3 linked regions of the Arabidopsis thaliana genome follow. The protein of the gene in region 2 binds, or shares a complex with, the protein of the main gene of each other region. Each region holds a gene or a part of one and is shown on either strand. Other genes may lie near its edges. A codon is read from its position in the direction of its gene.

Region 1 (6,094 bases), on a different chromosome or scaffold from region 2:
TGGAGAGGAAGAAGAAGAGGAAGAGGATGAAGAATTGGGAGGAGAAGAAGGGTTTAGGGATTTCAGCAGAGAAGATTCGGAGAGTCCGATGAAAGAACGAAGACGGTACGAGAATAGAGAGGTTGAATTGTTAGGAGATTGGCAAAGTGGAGGAAGAGGAAAAGAAGGAGTGAAGATATGGTTACAAGAGTTAGGGTTAGGGAGATATTGGCCAATGTTTGAGATGCATGAAGTTGATGAACAAGTGTTACCATTGTTGACATTGGAGGATCTTAAAGATATGGGGATTAATGCTGTTGGGTCTAGGAGGAAGATGTATTGTGCAATTCAGAAGCTTGGGAGGGAGTTCTCGTGAAAAATGGTGGAAGAGTTTTGTTTTTTGTGACCAGCCATTGGCAATGTCTGAAACTTAATTCTCTCTTTTGATGTTTTTTTGGTTTGAATGTAACATTTTAGTTAGTTTGTTGTAATGGTAGAGGAAGATGAAGAAGGATTAACTTATTTGTGATTGTTGTACCTTGTGGTTTTTGATGGTTGGGAACTTAATTGACCAATTTATCCAAAACCTTTTGATACAAATAATCCAAACATAGAAAACAGTTGTTGTCCGGAGTAATAAAAGAACTCTGACATCATTCAACGATATTACTATACATTTAAACTCTTGGAAAAACATGGATGAAGAATCACATAAATGCAGTAGCACCATGGTAAACAAGACTTGAGGAAAGGTGGACTAACTCTGGGTTTGTGTTTTACTTAGAGAGGAAATGGCTGGACCCCTGAGAAATCAGATTTGTGTCACATCAGAGAGATATGGAGAAGTTAACACATAACACAGCATTTGCTTGCGTTTTCCTGGATGCATCTCTATTTCATTGGTTAATTCTTCAATCCAGCTTGATGTCGTTTTTCGACTGTTCTATTTTCTTCGGCTCTGCCGGGAAATATTTGATTCCGCTAAGGTCACCTACTTTGCTTATAACCTGTCCAACACAAAACCACACACATTGATTCAAAACTTGTCTTGCATTGAAACCGAGCTCTATCGAAGCATATAGATCTATTTTAGCAGTTTTGTGCTTTGGGACTTCTGTGGAATAGCGCTTATTTGTAATAAGAAAAAAACACAAGTGGGTAGAATGCAATATTTTACCTTGAGGGCTCTTATAAGATCTTCTCTTGAATGAGATGCGGAGATGCAAATACGTGCCCTAGCCAGCAGTAGAGGTGTAGCTGGGAAACCCACGACCACCACTGCCACCTGTTCAGAGTTTCAAGGTTCCATTGCACCCACAAGTTAATCATTTACTTTTTGATCTTGTTACCTTGTGTTAATCGAGTTCTCATATGATATTTGGATTTGAATAATAGAACTTACTTTTTGTCGCAGACATTCTCTTGAGAAAGCTGGGATTTTTGCTGGGTTGTAAAGCATTATAGGCATGACTGGGGAATCATTGTCTCCAAGTACCTCAAATCCCATCTTCTGCAGCTCAGCCCGGAAAAAGTTGCTGTTCTCACGTATTCTTGCTAGCTTTTGTGCCCCTGTTCAGTATTTGAGAAGAATGGGAGTTTTTAGGTTATGAGTCATGACCTGATTAGATTGTGCTCAGTGACCCAAATGAGGCCAATTAATGACACGGTGAGAAAAAAAATCGAGTACCTCGATTTGAACCATCCTCTCCCAGAATAACTTTAATGGCAGATATAATTTGTTGTGCGGAAGGAGTTGGTATGGATGTTGCGTAAAGATGAGCTGGGCATTGATGCTTCAAATATTGGATGAGCTCCTATAGAAGTTGAATAAAAATAATAAATTGATTATACTTTTGTTGAATTTAAGAAGTGTACAGCTTACCTAAGTATCACATGGTATGTCGTATAGATACTGAAGGCCTTTATATATATATACTAATCGTCATTTCGCAGGTTCAAAATAAGTTTTGACTTTTGAGTGAGCGTTTTTTTGGTTAATGGTTTATATTTGAGTGAAAGTTACGGCTATCAATATTCTTTTTGAGCTAAACTAAAAGGTCAGAAACTTGATTTACCAAAACAAGACTGCAGGAGATTTGCAAGATCAGTAAATAAAAACAAATGTAGCATTTTCTAACCTTAGATCCAGCAATATAGCCACCACAAGACCCAAAAGATTTTGTGAAGGTTCCCATCATTACGTCCACATCAGCTGTGTCAACTCCCAGGAGTTCACAAATACCCTTTCCTGTTTTACCAATTGCCCCAATGCTGTGAGCTTCATCCAAATAAACATATGCCTGAAACGAAGATAGAAGATAAGTTAGGTGTATCTTTTCACGCAACAAAAAACTCCCAATAGTTTAGAAAATATGGCATTTCAAAGGGTAATTTTAGTCAATAGAGTTCCTTAATTTATCGCTTATATTGAATGTGGCACATAGTGAACCCAGTTACTTTTTAAGGGGTATTTGCACACACAAAATAGTTTCAGTTATCAACCAATTCTCATAATCAGTAATTCAGGAATATTGTCTCACCTTATACTTCTTGCATATGGCCACAACTTCCGGTAGATGACAAATCTCCCCTTCCATGCTGTAAATACCTTCAACAACAACAATAATTTTCTTCCATGGTCGATGTGTCCTAGGTTGACCTTCTGCAATTTGTTCTCTCAAAACTCGTTCCAAATGGGAAGGCGCTAAGAAACACAAGCAAGAGAATATACATGTAAGCCATCCATTATATGGAAAGAACCTCTGAAGCTGAAACACAACAAATGCTTACTGTTATGCTGGAAAACACGGATAGTGGCTCCAGAACCTCGAGCACCATTGACAATAGAACTATGGTTCAAAGAATCACTTATTATCAACCCTCCCTGTATACAAGACATCACAGGAAAAAATATCAACTTAAGCATGGGTTTTAGAAAAGAGACAACATACGCCTTCATCATAAAGGGTAAACCAATGCATACCTTTCCAATCAAGACTGGAATGATAGCCGAATTTGTTGCATAGCCCATGCCAAAAACAACAGCAGCAGGCTTTCCCACAAACCTAGTAACACATTCCTCAAGTTCTGCATGCACGGATGTAGTTCCTGATAGCAGAAAAAAGTTTGTTTAGAAACAGAGCCAAAATGGTTCTTGAATCTATAGGCAAAGACACTTTACCTGCATCAACACGAGAGCTACATGTACTTGCTGAAAATTTCTTCAAGGACTCAATAACACGAGGCGTGCAATATTCATCAAAAGAACCAAACCCAAGATAATTGTAGGACCCCAAATTGAGGCACCTGCTAGTTTTTGTTGTTCGCCTGCACAGAGTCAACACCAACAAAGGTTTACTCAGCAACCTTCTTAATTTAGAATTCAAATCTTCCCCTAATTAAACTTGAATGGGACAATTTTACAAGACTGTATCAACCATTCGAATTCAGCATTTTCATATTCTCCCAACAGAATCAAAGAAGCTACGACTACTGATAGAAAAACACAAGTAGACAGACTCACTTAAGCGTCTTGTTGTTGTCATTAGAGTAGCGCTCAACCACATCAAACCAAGCATCAGGTGCACTCGATATAGGTCGTTCAAAACAATCCTTGAAGCAAAACGGAGATAAACATTAGTCATCAAGCAGTAAACACGAGAAACTCATAAGCCAAACATTCACAACGCTTAAAGCTTGCATAACTACAATGCCAATAATCAATTCGATTTTGTTAACAGAATCATAGATTTGATAATGAATTTACCTGAATCCGATGATACAATCGCCTGATATAGAAATCCTCATGCCCCAAACAGATCGGCGCGTATCCCTGTCGATAGCCAATTTCACCGGAATAAGAAGCATAAAGTTAAACAAACTTGTACATTGATCCACATCTACGTACATTATATACTGGAGAAAACAGACAGACCTGGAGATTGCTAGTGAACCACCAATCAATGAAGCGACGGAAGAAATCTCGGAGCTGACCAAAAGCAAAGAGCAATCCATAGCTGAAGTAGGTGGATACAGCGGTTAAATAAGGAATCGTTATCATTTTCTCCAAGAACGGCTTCGTCTTCTTCTCCGGTCAATCAACTTGCCTCTTCCTCTCCTCTCTCGCCGTCGCTAGGCCGAATCGGAAAACGAATTTGCCTTAGGCGATCTGGAGAATATTTCCGACTCTCTCAGAAATTGAAAGTTGAGAGACAGAGACACAGACAGAGATTTGAATTGGAGGAATCTTTTCCCCTCCGTGAGATTGAGAAGGGATCGGATCATAAAACCATTTCTTTTCTTTTTTAATATTAAAATATTTAATAGTACAGATAATTTATCTTTAGAACCTTAAAACGAAATAGCGATTTTACGTATCTTGGGCCTTGGAGTCCACTAATTCAAACTAGGCCCAAATGTGATAGCTGATGACCTGTTTGTTTAGAACTTTAAAATTTAGTTTGGAGAAAGAAAAAAATGAGGTTCTACCGGGAGTCGAACCCAGGTCGCAGGATTCAAAGTCCTGAGTGCTAACCACTACACCATAGAACCAGATGCTTAATGAGACAAAAGAATCATATTTATTAGTATTATGATATATTTGGACTTGCATGTTATTTTAGTTTGATTGATTTGTTTCGGTTGCAACATTTTTAGTTGGGTTGAATTGCATTTAATATGTCACCCTTAATTTCCATATATAGAGTTCGATTTTATGAATTAAGTTTTGTAATCTCCTTTAAATCCAACTGTTTTCCATGTGAATATTGCACCAACGAGTAGATGGGAGAATGGCTGGTGGAAAAAGAAAAAAATATGTTGTTCTTCTATAGCAGCCAAATAAGGATTTCTAAGAATTAGGATATGTCATTGTTGCGATGAAAAAGAGTCTCGTCTTTATCAAAAGAGGTTACATAATTTACAACACTCCGATAGATACAATGTCAAGTCGGTTTTTGAGAGAAAAAAAAAAAAAGATAAAACATTTTCATCGTGCATGCACCAACCAAGCGAGAGGAAAATAAAAATCAATTTTTCCTTCTCAAATTTCGATTTCGTTACTATATGTATGTGACTTTTAATTTGATATTTTGGTATATTTATTCGATTTGTAATTTTCATCTTGCATAAAACGAGTGAGTAAGGAAAATTCGTGATTATGTTTGATTTGGTTTCGTTTAACTTACCAAGAATTATTTGAAGGATGAATAATTCAAATTGGTTTTTTATTTTAGTCCGGTGTATAATTTTATTAAACCTAATTGAATTTAATTTTAAAAAAAAAAAAATATATATATATATATATATATATACTTTTTCTTTTTGAATCAGCAAATGAATATAGACTCGGATTATATTTGGTCTACAAAATAAACAACTAACTGATTAATTTGCATACAGTTTAATAAAGTTGAGGAAGGACTAGATAAACCTTCGTTTAAATACGTCCATACACCTAGAAAGGCACGAAAATGCTTTTATAAAAAGATCAAGTCCTTGATGAGATTTATGAAAACGTTTTAAATATATATATCCTTAGCACATTCCATTATCATATACAGTACGATATGCAATATGTGAGTACAAATATCTTATACGTCTGAGCAGATAAACTTAATTAGCAACATAATAATATATATAAATTTTGTAAAGAAGAGAGACAATTGTTGTGCACCAAAGCTGCCGGCCAGCTCTACTAAAATCCAACCATATTCGAAAGTTTTGCCTTATAATTGATGAATTATATCTAATTCATATCTTAACGGCAAAGATGAGAGTGCCATAGTGGGAGTTTATATAAAGGATATATAGAGTTATAGACATACATATACACATACGCACCAAGCACATATCATAATTGGTTTAATTTACTAACCAATTCCGGTTTTTCATTTATAAATAATAATGTATAACGTATATAGTTTGTGAACACGATCACCTATTTACAAATAAAATATGATGAAGAGGAAAAAAACACAAGAAGCCAAAGTGAAGCATGATCTATCAACTGGCTGAGGAAATGGTAATGAGATTAGGTAAACAGTCTCAATAACCATGCATGTCTATTGTCTACACTCTAGATACTAGACTGCTTAAGAGTGCCATCGTAATGAAA
Region 2 (4,261 bases):
ACATGCAGAGTTTGATGTCAAAGTTTACAACTGGAGCATCTGTATTTGAAAGATACATACAGTGTCAGTGTGTCATCATCTTGATTCTTGTAAATTGATATATTTTTTTGGGACCTTTGGAAAAAATAAAAGCAGAAGAATCTTTCAGATTTGCAATTAAAAACGATGTCGTGTGGTAAACAAAATCCTTTGCTTGACCAAGTCGTTCTCTTCTTGCTTCTGGTTGGTTTACTTCATAGTTCAACGACCACCAAGCTGTGAAGTGACCGTATTACCCCTGCCTGGAATCAAGGTCAAAAGGCCCCGGAAAATCAGTACGTTGGTAGCATTTGGATTTGGAGATAACGCCGTTAAAAGACTCTGTAACGGGTTTGCTCAACAGCTCTCTCTAGTTCGTTTATCGAATTAGATAATGCCACTCCAAAAAACGTTACTTTACCTTACCTATCTCGCTGACGTCAGATCCCACCGTTAGAGCTTACACTTGTAACGCCGTTTCCTGCATTTTCCACAAGCAAGGTAAAAAAAAGCTTTGTGCAGAGAGAGAGAGAAGAAGAAAAATGGGTTTGCTTACGAACAAGATTGAGAGAGAAGAGCTAAAGCCAGGAGATCACATCTATACTTACAGAGCAATCTTCGCTTATTCTCACCACGGTAACTTTAGATTCATTCTTCCCAAGTTTGCTCCTTTCTTTCTCGTTCATTCAATCATAACATCAAAAAGTGAAATTATCCTCAATGCAAGTCTTTTCTTTTAGTTTCTACTGGTCGGTTTAATCTTCTTATTGAAACTGTAAATTCACAAAGTTGACGACTTTATCTAGATAGATCTTGAAGACAATGGTCTATATTCCAATCTTTGCATGACCTAATTTCACCCTGGCTCTGTATTTTGATGTTATTCCATCATATCTTCTGATCTCTGATGGACTTTATAGATGATTTTTGTTTATTTGACATATTTTTATCCCAATTTCCTCTGGTGATGAAGAATTGATACTGTTGTAGACATTCCTTCATGGGCTTTGATTTGATTGTGGATTTTTGCAGGAATCTTTGTCGGTGGGTCCAAAGTTGTTCATTTCAGACCTGAACACAACCCCATGGATTCATCAACATCATCAATATCATCATCTTCCTCTGAAGATATCTGTTCCATATTTCCTGATTGCGGTTTCAGACAACCGGACAGTGGAGTAGTCCTTTCTTGCTTAGACTGTTTCCTCAAGAACGGCTCACTCTACTGCTTCGAATATGGAGTCAGTCCATCGGTTTTCCTAACCAAAGTCCGCGGAGGGACTTGCACAACCGCGCAATCTGATACAACTGATTCAGTCATCCACAGGGCAATGTACCTTCTCCAAAACGGATTTGGCAACTACGACATTTTCAAGAACAACTGTGAGGATTTCGCGCTCTATTGCAAGACCGGTTTGCTTATAATGGATAAGCTCGGTGTAGGGAGAAGCGGTCAAGCTTCTTCAATTGTTGGTGCTCCTTTGGCTGCACTCCTCTCTTCTCCTTTCAAATTGCTTATTCCAAGTCCCATTGGTGTGGCAACAGTTACTGCTGGTATGTACTGTATGAGTCGCTATGCTACCGATATTGGTGTTAGAAGCGACGTCATTAAGGTCTCAGTTGAGGATTTGGCTCTCAACCTTGACGTAAAGACCATTGAGCAAGGTGAAGAAGAAGAAGAAGACGAAGAAGAAGATTCTGATACCGACTATGTTAGGTGACAAACAGATACCTATCACCTTTGTTCACGAATTTCGATATACATAAGAAAACATTTCAGTTAGAATCCTCATGTTGGTTTTATGTTCCCTTTATTGCATTTGTTGGCCTATTTTCTGTCTGTACAAAATGAAAACGCAGACGTTTTGGTTTGGGTAATGTCAAAAATATCCCAATAATTAATTAATGCCCAGTGTAGATGCAAAAAAGCAGTCGTCGTCTTTCACGGGCACACAAAATTAAACCAAAGAAACAAACAATCCTTGTTCTCGCCGAAATAGAGAATTTTGTGAATCTGGGTTTTTAGTTCAGGTGTTAATATAAGATTTTGATCAAAAGAAGACGAGATTCGATCCGATCCGATCTGATTGAAGAAGAAATGGCGAATCTGTATGTGAAAGCGGTTCCACCACCGGATATGAATAGGAATACGGAATGGTTCATGTATCCAGGAGTTTGGACGACTTACATGCTTATTCTCTTCTTCGGTTGGCTCGTTGTTCTCTCTGTCTCTGGTTGTTCCCCTGGAATGGCTTGGACTGTTGTTAATCTCGCTCACTTCGTTGTAAGTCTTCGATTGTGTTTATGCTTTAGAGATGATTTTTTCACTTAGGGTTGTGACTTTAAATTAGATGATGGATTGATTCCTTGTTTTTTTTTTATTTCCTGAGATCTGGATGTGAATCTGGCTCTAGTGTTTGAATTGATCTCTTTGGTTATTAGCAATTTTTTAGTTGGTTTAGGGTTCGAATGAAGAGGCAATTACCTTCTGATTGATCAGTTTTAGCTATCGTATATCGTTGAGCTTGGATCAGGCTTCGAATTAGGATACAGTTACCTTCTTATCAATGAATTGATCAGTTTTGGTATCAGCGATTTTGAATTGATCTGTTTGGATACTATCAGCAGTGTTGACTGTTGAGTTGATCAGGCTTTTAAGTAAGATGCAATTCTCTTCTAAGTTTGAATTGATCGGTTTTGGATCAGGCTTCGAATTAAGATGCACCTTCTCGTTAATGAATTATCAGTTTTTGATATCAGAAACTAAAACTACCTATGGCATCAATGCAATTTCTTAAGGTCTAACTGTTTGATATAATGCGGTGACTTGTAAATTGGCATTGCTTGATTGTCAAAACCAAATTTAATCTAATTTCTAATTACTCTTTAGGAAAATGTGATGTCTGAGTAGAAATTTGTGGATATTTGTTGTCAGGTAACGTATCACAGCTTCCACTGGATGAAAGGAACTCCTTTTGCAGATGACCAAGGAATCTACAATGGTTTAACTTGGTGGGAACAAATGGACAATGGTCAACAGCTTACCCGCAACCGCAAATTTCTTACCCTAGTTCCTGTTGTTCTGTAAGTCCCAGCACCTTGTTCCTCAAAATCTCACCACTCTTGTCTATTTCCAATCTATATTTTCTTAGCAAATTATTTTCTTTAGCTGCATATATCCTTGTGTCTCATATGGTTAATAAATATGCTAATTTCTCAATACACATATCTAAATCCGGTGATGTGTAACGGACTAGTTCTAGAGAACTCTGTATACGCGATAATGTGTATAAACAAGAGCTGCATTTATCTGGATGAACTTTTAAGATTGAGCTCTTTAGCTTTTGTACTTGTTTTCTGACTTTATAACGACACATTTAAAACAGGTACTTGATTGCATCGCATACAACAGATTACAGACATCCATGGCTGTTCCTCAACACACTCGCTGTGATGGTTCTCGTTGTTGCCAAGTTCCCCAACATGCACAAGGTACGCATCTTTGGTATCAATGGTGATAAATAAGTTTCCTTTACGGCAAGAGAACACCTGAAAGAAGGAAAAGGGGATATAAGCGAACATATATATGTGTAAATGTTCATATGAGTTGGTTTAATTCTCGAGTCATGTTTTTTGTTGGATATTTGTAAGTAAACTCTCTAATTTTGAAGCTTTCATCTTTTACCTTTTATAATAGACACGAAAAAGCTTTCCCTTCATCTCCCCACTTCACTTCAGATAATGGGCCTAATAGCAATATGGGCTTGAACAATAATTGAATTTAACAATGGCCCAAAGATTCCTGTCGTGGTGACTCATGAGTTATCATAACACCAGAATGTTTTCGATTGAGCGTAATGATTCAGTGGGATCTAAAGAACACGTGGCTGCCTACAAGATCTCTAACAGCTGGTTAATGACACGTGTCATAGTTAAAGTCCACCTGGATGGATATTATATCATGGTGTACGTATACAAAATAGTTAATCCCTCTTCAAAATTGAATAAAGCTAACAAAAGTAATCAATTAACGTGATTAAAAAAAAAAAGAGAATGCTAATTGGACCCCGAAAACATGATATATCCTGCAAAATTAAAGCCGACAAAACGAAAGAATGACTAATTAAAGTTGGAATAAGACTAATGATTTTTTTTTTTTTTTTTCTTATTGTGGTCCAATGTAAGAAAATAAATAAAAACATCTTATCCATTAAATCGAAAGTAGGGTCCATATCGTAATAGC
Region 3 (6,015 bases), on a different chromosome or scaffold from region 2:
TAACAAAACAGAGAACTAAAAAATCTCTTCATTTTTGTTTACTATACCTTGGATCAAAGTCATGATTTTGCCAGATAGTTGGAATTAGGCAGGTAAGGGCACGAGGGACGAGCACTCTAACGAGTGTCTTATTATTTTTAGCCAATGCCCTTTGCCAAATTCCTGTAAGAAATTCACATTCCCTAATTACAAATCAAATTCGAACAACGATAACGATGAACATGAAGTTAAGAAAACAGAACAAAACAGAGAGACAATTAAAAGATAAATTACCTCTGCAAAGAGGAAATGAGAGGAAGGAGAAAGATAAAAGGAGAGTGAGATTGCTCCGAAAATCTCTCAAAATCGTTCCATTGGATTCTCAACTCCATTAACGTCGAGGTAAAGCTCCACCTCATATTCTCTCTTTCCCCAACCATTGATTCTTCTTCTTTTTTTGGTCACTGTTTTGTTTTTGTTTTTCGTTATGCAGTTCTAATTATACAAACTTAGAAACAGAGGAAGAGAGATTACCTGTCCCTCGCTCTTTCGTTCACATTATACCGCCCACGAGTGTTATACTGACACGTGTCAATTATGCACGAGTGTTATACTGACACGTGTCAATACTATTGAGATTTGAGAGAGGCAAAAACACTTTCTTTTACCGCAAGAAACTCAGAAAGCCTTAAGAGGCTGATGTCAGCACATGAACTTTTTTGTTTCCCATAAATTGAAAGTTTTTGAATTTCGGCAACAACACTAAGCTACTTGATCATTGAAGGGTATGAGTAGGAAAAAAAAAAAAAGAACTCAGATGATCAAATGAAATAAATGTAAGAACAAGAAGCCATTGTCTTCGATAATCCTCCTTCGTCAATTGAGCTTCAGATCAACCACAAGCCCATCACTGAAAGTGGAGAACCAGTTTAGGAATCTGCTATGAACATCTTCAAGCTACTGACTCTGCGGATTCTGTTGTCTACTATCTCACACGGATGTGTTCAAAGAGTTCCCTTCAGTGTTGTTGTTCTTGAAGAAAAAAGAGTTTCGGTGTTTCAGGACTTGAGTAGAAGCTCTGAAGCAAGTCTCTTCAGTGACTCCGACGCTTTAAGAAGATCGGATTCCGAATGTCCCGCTGAGACGTAGAGTTTGATTCCCACAGGTAACCGGCATTTATCAAGAAATGATCTTTTAGAACTCACAACCAACAATGAGTCTTCCTTCAGAGCCTGCATGCATCTAGTCATGTCAAGAAACGGGGACAGGGTCTAGATTTGGTTTTGCAAAGAAACAATGAACTTACACGGTCAGCCATTTTCTCAAGTAGAAGCAAATCATCTTTAGCTGAACCGCTAGATTTCTCTAATTTTAAGAAAACAATAGGTGATTCCCGGTTGCTTGTTAATGACATCCCCTTGATATCTGACAATCCTGCGTTGTTCCCAGCATTTCTTTTTCAATTAGAGGAAGATAACAAACTAAATCAAACTCTAATTGTTGCTAGATTAGATTAAAACTTGAAGATCAAACCTTTCCATAACAGAGCAACATTTTGCTTCAGCTTAACTAACATATCAGGGTTTTGATCAATGACATCAATGGCGGTGATAGCAGCACTTGCAAGGTATGGTGGTAAAGAAGCAGAGAACACATATCCTGAACTGCTAAGTCTCTGTGCATTTGAGCGTCCCAGAGAAAAGTTTCTATTATCGGTAGTTTTTTAATTTTGTTTGTAATTAGTTAATCAGCATGATCGATGTTTACCTGGTAATCGATGATGCGGGCATTCCCAGTGCAAAATCCACCTTCTGTGGCTAATGCATGGCCCATTGCAGCAGTCACAACATCTATCTTCTCAATCTGTTTAAAGATAAACCGCCGTGAAATTTTTAGCATCAGGTTTGGCAAATGAGAACACTACTAAAATGTGTGTCAATCATACTTACAGGGACACTATGATGCTCTGCAAGACCTCTCCCAGAACGGCCAAGCACACCAAAAGAGTTGCTTTCATCCAATATAACACGAAACCGATACTTCTCTTTTAGTTTTACAATCTCATCCAGAGGCGCAATTTGACCTGAATTCTGTAGATTTTAACATACCCAAAGGCAAATGGGTAAGCATCACAGTTCAGGGAGAATTTTCAAAATATGGAAGCAGGAGAAGAAAGAAAACTGCCAGGTACTTGATATACAGCTTCAGCTACAATATAACGCCTCAAGTTCTTTGAGCGCTTGTACTTTGTCATGATTTTCTCAAGGGTAATTCGAAGGGATTCCATGTCATTGTGCTTGAAGTACACAATTGTACTTCTTGAAAGCTGAAGTCCATTTTGTATTCCCCAGTGAACACCCTCATCACTAAGAAAATAGAAAAGACAAGAATGAGTTTAATATCGAGATAAAAAAGTTTCAAACAAAGATGTTCAATGTAATCCTGGGATTTCTACTAACGTAATCTAATAAGTAGAACGATGTTATAAGAAATTGTGTACTTACGCAACAATGACATCGCCTTTCTTACAGAAACAAGGAATTGTGCTGAACATTGTGGAAAGTCCATAAGAGTAAAGGATTGAATCAGGAGTACCCAAAAATTTGGATATTCTGGTTTCGCAGTCAAGGTGGACATCTAGTCAAGAGAAGTAATCAAACAGTAAGAACCCTTTCCAAGCGAGCCAATGGATGAACCAAAGTATCTATTTAGAAAATTATTGTCTTCTTACCAATTGTACCATAGAATCCACGAGGCCCACAAGAACCGACCCCATATTTTTCTAATGCAGAAGTACATGATTCCTGGCATAAGACAAATCTTAAATAAAACTATTCAAACAGAAGAGAGATTGTATTGAAAACAAAGTAGCTTCACGTTACCAGCAACTTCTCGTGGCCAATGAGCCCAAGATAATTAGCTGAGGCAAAATTCACCACATCTTTTCCATTAACTGTTGTATGCGGTCCAGCAGCACTGTATGGACCCAACAAAATCTTTAAGCATAACACAGAATAAGGCTATACAACGAACTACATAGAAGTCTTCTACGTTACCTTTCAAGAACTGGTGGCTCATGCTTCATGTCTTCAGTAATTGGCGGTATAAGAGGTTCAGGAACCCACTCATCACACAACTCATCTATTTCCTGAGTAATAAAAAACCCCGAAAACTCAATACATTTCAACTATACCACACATCAAAGATGTCACCACGAACCAAATCCTATGTGATCTATCAAACCAATATCAAGAAAGGATCTGAGACAGAACCTGCTCGGTCAATGGTCGCTTGGGAGGTTTATAACTCTTCCGAGTGAGGAGAATGATAATGACAACACCCAACAACCCTTCCACAAAGAAGTGCCCTGGAAAACGAAAACAAAAACAAAAAAGTTGAAATCTTTAGTAATCTCAAATAACCAACAAACTTGGATAGACAGACAAAGTTCACTTAAAGTTGTTTCTTCAAATCTATACCTCGGATTGGGACACCAAACAAGACAACTCTAGCTGAAGGACTCTCCAGAATCATAGTAACCCAATTCAAAGCAGCATTAAACATTTCCACGAGATTCGAAGCCATTGCTAATTTGCTTTAATAAAGCTCTGTACTTTTTTCTTCTATAGTATTAATTTGCTCGACGAATCGAGCATAAGAGAAGCTAGCTCAACTTTGGGAAAACCTACAAAACCCAATCTTCAATTAGTATTACAAATTTTCAAAATTCACAACAAAAAGTGGCAATTTTGAATCCAAATTCGACCCAAAAAAAAACTATCAGGAAAGATCTGGCATCGGATCACTGAGCAACGAGAAATCGAAATCTCGGAGAACAGATTAAGAAAGTATATATGATTACAAATAGATCCGACAAATAAACGAGGAACGTTACCTGATCCCAATTGGATTTTGGGTGGCAAAATGGACAAGGAGCAGAAGGTATCGTGCCCACAAGAGTGTCAAACACACGAGGAGTGTTGTTCAAATTCGGCGATGCAAAAAGATTGACTTTCAACGTTTTTTCGAGATTTTTGATAACGCAGACGGCAAAAAAAAAAAATCAATTTCAGAGAGAAAAAAAAAAAAGTAAAAGAAGAAGACGAGCGGATCTGTCTATGTTCGTAATACGTCAGTAGAATCCTGGGCCCAGATCTGTGTGTTGGTTCATCGATACGACGCCGTTTAAGTGTTAGATATGGGCCTAGAGGCCCAATGTTTCAACAGCACACACTGTGACACAGTCACTAGTAAGCATTCATCACCACCACTAAAGTCTTAAAGGACAATGCAAAGAGAGAAAGAAAGAGTACTAAAGCCTAAAGGTAAGGAAGAGACAGAAAGAGGAAAATGGTGGTCACACACACCAATCATCACCACTCATTCTTGTTTAGCTTTTTTCTAACCTTCTTGTAATCATATTCGACCCCAAAGTTCCCCCTACTTTTTCTGTAATATTTTGTAGCATTTACATTACACTATACATATATTATTCCTATTCTGTTCAACCATAGTATCATATCATATTCATATTTACATCTCACGAATTAGTTGCTTAGATACGACGTCATTTTAATGGAACGGTCTTAGGTTTTAAATATGGGCTTTGTTAGAGGCCCAATGACTAACTTTTAAGTGATTAACTTTTCACCACACTTGAAAAAACAAAACGTAAGCAACAAGAGAGAGACGATCATGGTTGAAGAAGAGATTATATGAAGAAAAAAGATTGATACGTTACGGTTTTGCATTAATCCCTCAAGCGACACGCGTGCGTCCCCCTCGGCCCTCTCTCTAACCACAAAAACCTTATCATACCAAGTACCAACACACAGTCTCTCTCACCTAACAGAGCATTTACACTACCCTTATGACGCAACAAGCATTCATGACCACCACTAAAATCTTGAAGGCAAGGCAGAGAGAGAAAGAAGATTACTAAAAAAGCCTTACGGTAAGGAGAAAGAGAGAAAAAGAGAAGGAAATGGTGGTCACACACACACACACACCAATCATCATCACTCATTCTTGTATAGCTTTTTCTACCTTCAAAAGTCAATCAGTCTTCTTCCTCCTATCTCCCAAAGTTTCCTATACTTTTTTGTATGTTTTGAAACATTTACATTACAATTAAAAATATCATCCATATTCTATTCCACGATTTTTCATATAAATCACCAAATAGATTCTAGCAAGGGTAATTTTTCTAATGAAATTTAGTTTATGTTTAAACGAATAAAAGTCCTTAAACAAGAAATGGCAATAGAGTCCACCACGCAAAGCAAGAACAGAGTCTAGCACTGATAGCAAGAACAGAGTAAAGAAAGTACAAACATTACATGAAGCCATCATGATGTTGTTTGACTAATTTATCCTTTATATTTACATGAAACATTATCCTCTACTTTGTTTATTCCTATTTTTGGTCACTTTGGACTACACCTGCCATTTCTCCTTAAACTAAATTCATCCAACCAAAGAAAAATTTATTTTCGTTGAATCATGACCAATGATGAACGAATCCCACATCGTATTTTCAAGAAAGAAAATAGATGGAAAAGTAAACACACAAAAAAAAAGGTAGGGTAATGGAAGAATGAAGTGACAGGCCAAAGATTTCTCCTTTAAGAAAAGCAAATTCTAACACCAAAAGAACAAACCCTAACCCAAAATTATACTAAATTTCTTCACTTTTATTGTTATTGTGATGGATAAGAAGGATATGGAGAGAGAGTTTTACATGACAGGAGGAGATGGAAAAACTAGTTATGCCAGAAACTCTTCCCTCCAGGTAGGTTCTTGAGATTTCCCACATATCTTCACTTAGTTCATAATTTTGACTCTCTATAACCACTTTTCCTGTTTTAATCTTGTAGAAGAAAGCATCTGATACGGCAAAGCACATAACACTAGAGACACTTCAACAACTCTACAAAGAGACAAGACCAAAGAGTTTAGGAATAGCTGATCTAGGATGTTCTTCAGGACCAAACACTCTCTCCACCATTACAGACTTCATCAAAACCGTCCAAGTTG

What was found.
Region 1: the proteins of AT1G01230 (region 2) and LCB2 are in contact, whole or in part, in a cryo-EM structure (PDB 7YJK), measured with the Arabidopsis thaliana proteins. Residues at the interface, in NP_563622.1 of Arabidopsis thaliana: Met1 (codon at 2,117), Ala2 (codon at 2,120), Asn3 (codon at 2,123), Leu4 (codon at 2,126), Tyr5 (codon at 2,129), Val6 (codon at 2,132), Lys7 (codon at 2,135), Ala8 (codon at 2,138), Val9 (codon at 2,141), Pro10 (codon at 2,144), Pro12 (codon at 2,150), Met14 (codon at 2,156), Arg16 (codon at 2,162), Glu19 (codon at 2,171), Trp20 (codon at 2,174), Tyr23 (codon at 2,183), Pro24 (codon at 2,186), Gly25 (codon at 2,189), Val26 (codon at 2,192), Thr28 (codon at 2,198), Thr29 (codon at 2,201), Leu32 (codon at 2,210), Ser67 (codon at 2,966), Met71 (codon at 2,978), Thr74 (codon at 2,987), Pro75 (codon at 2,990), Phe76 (codon at 2,993), Asp78 (codon at 2,999); in NP_001031932.1 of Arabidopsis thaliana: Met1, Ile2, Thr3, Ile4, Pro5, Tyr6, Leu7, Ala9, Val10, Tyr13, Phe14, Phe20, His51, Glu52, Asp53, Tyr55, Ser192, Arg203, Val211, Gln213, Phe430, Ala432, Thr433, Pro434, Leu435, Leu436, Leu437, Tyr471, Phe472.
Region 3: the proteins of AT1G01230 (region 2) and LCB1 are in contact, whole or in part, in a cryo-EM structure (PDB 7YJM), measured with the Arabidopsis thaliana proteins. Residues at the interface, in NP_563622.1 of Arabidopsis thaliana: Gly95 (codon at 3,050), Gln96 (codon at 3,053), Gln97 (codon at 3,056), Leu98 (codon at 3,059), Thr99 (codon at 3,062), Lys103 (codon at 3,074), Thr106 (codon at 3,083), Leu107 (codon at 3,086), Val110 (codon at 3,095), Tyr113 (codon at 3,406), Leu114 (codon at 3,409), Ser117 (codon at 3,418), His118 (codon at 3,421), Tyr122 (codon at 3,433), Pro143 (codon at 3,496); in NP_001031796.1 of Arabidopsis thaliana: Gly36, His37, Val40, Glu41, Leu44, Ile48, Leu51, Leu52, Arg54, Lys55, Ser56, Tyr57, Lys58, Pro59.

Annotation. Positions count from the first base shown.
Region 1 is NC_003076.8:7,979,834-7,985,927, reverse strand, and holds LCB2 (long chain base2), read right to left. Parts: upstream 4,288-6,094; 5' UTR 4,040-4,287; coding exon 3,914-4,039; intron 3,812-3,913; coding exon 3,746-3,811; intron 3,592-3,745; coding exon 3,503-3,591; intron 3,307-3,502; coding exon 3,161-3,306; intron 3,088-3,160; coding exon 2,963-3,087; intron 2,864-2,962; coding exon 2,770-2,863; intron 2,684-2,769; coding exon 2,520-2,683; intron 2,280-2,519; coding exon 2,118-2,279; intron 1,794-2,117; coding exon 1,667-1,793; intron 1,549-1,666; coding exon 1,382-1,548; intron 1,265-1,381; coding exon 1,157-1,264; intron 987-1,156; coding exon 891-986; 3' UTR 537-890; downstream 1-536. Other genes in the region: AT5G23680 (Sterile alpha motif (SAM) domain-containing protein), read left to right, coding at 1-355. UniProt on the Arabidopsis thaliana protein: Serine palmitoyltransferase (SPT). The heterodimer formed with LCB1 constitutes the catalytic core. Involved in the regulation of the programmed cell death (PCD) signaling pathway. Plays an important role during male gametogenesis and embryogenesis.
Region 2 is NC_003070.9:95,504-99,764, forward strand, and holds AT1G01230 (ORMDL family protein), read left to right. Parts: upstream 1-1,908; 5' UTR 1,909-2,116; coding exon 2,117-2,302; intron 2,303-2,953; coding exon 2,954-3,102; intron 3,103-3,404; coding exon 3,405-3,543; 3' UTR 3,544-3,737; downstream 3,738-4,261. Other genes in the region: FKGP (L-fucokinase/GDP-L-fucose pyrophosphorylase), read left to right, coding at 1-49; AT1G01225 (NC domain-containing protein-like protein), read left to right, coding at 561-654, 1,051-1,739.
Region 3 is NC_003075.7:17,216,147-17,222,161, reverse strand, and holds LCB1 (long-chain base1), read right to left. Parts: upstream 4,254-6,015; 5' UTR 3,875-4,253; intron 3,855-3,874; exon of another isoform or gene 3,746-3,854; intron 3,665-3,745; 5' UTR 3,565-3,664; coding exon 3,459-3,564; intron 3,347-3,458; coding exon 3,252-3,346; intron 3,128-3,251; coding exon 3,036-3,127; intron 2,956-3,035; coding exon 2,862-2,955; intron 2,784-2,861; coding exon 2,711-2,783; intron 2,617-2,710; coding exon 2,484-2,616; intron 2,346-2,483; coding exon 2,171-2,345; intron 2,070-2,170; coding exon 1,929-2,069; intron 1,843-1,928; coding exon 1,747-1,842; coding exon of another isoform or gene 1,723-1,746; exon of another isoform or gene 1,655-1,722; coding exon 1,513-1,654; intron 1,414-1,512; coding exon 1,286-1,413; intron 1,212-1,285; coding exon 1,038-1,211; 3' UTR 537-1,037; downstream 1-536. Other genes in the region: SFH12 (SEC14-like 12), read right to left, coding at 48-63; AT4G36470 (S-adenosyl-L-methionine-dependent methyltransferases superfamily protein), read left to right, coding at 5,687-5,770, 5,856-6,015. UniProt on the Arabidopsis thaliana protein: Component of serine palmitoyltransferase (SPT), which catalyzes the committed step in the synthesis of sphingolipids, the condensation of serine with palmitoyl CoA to form the long chain base 3-ketosphinganine.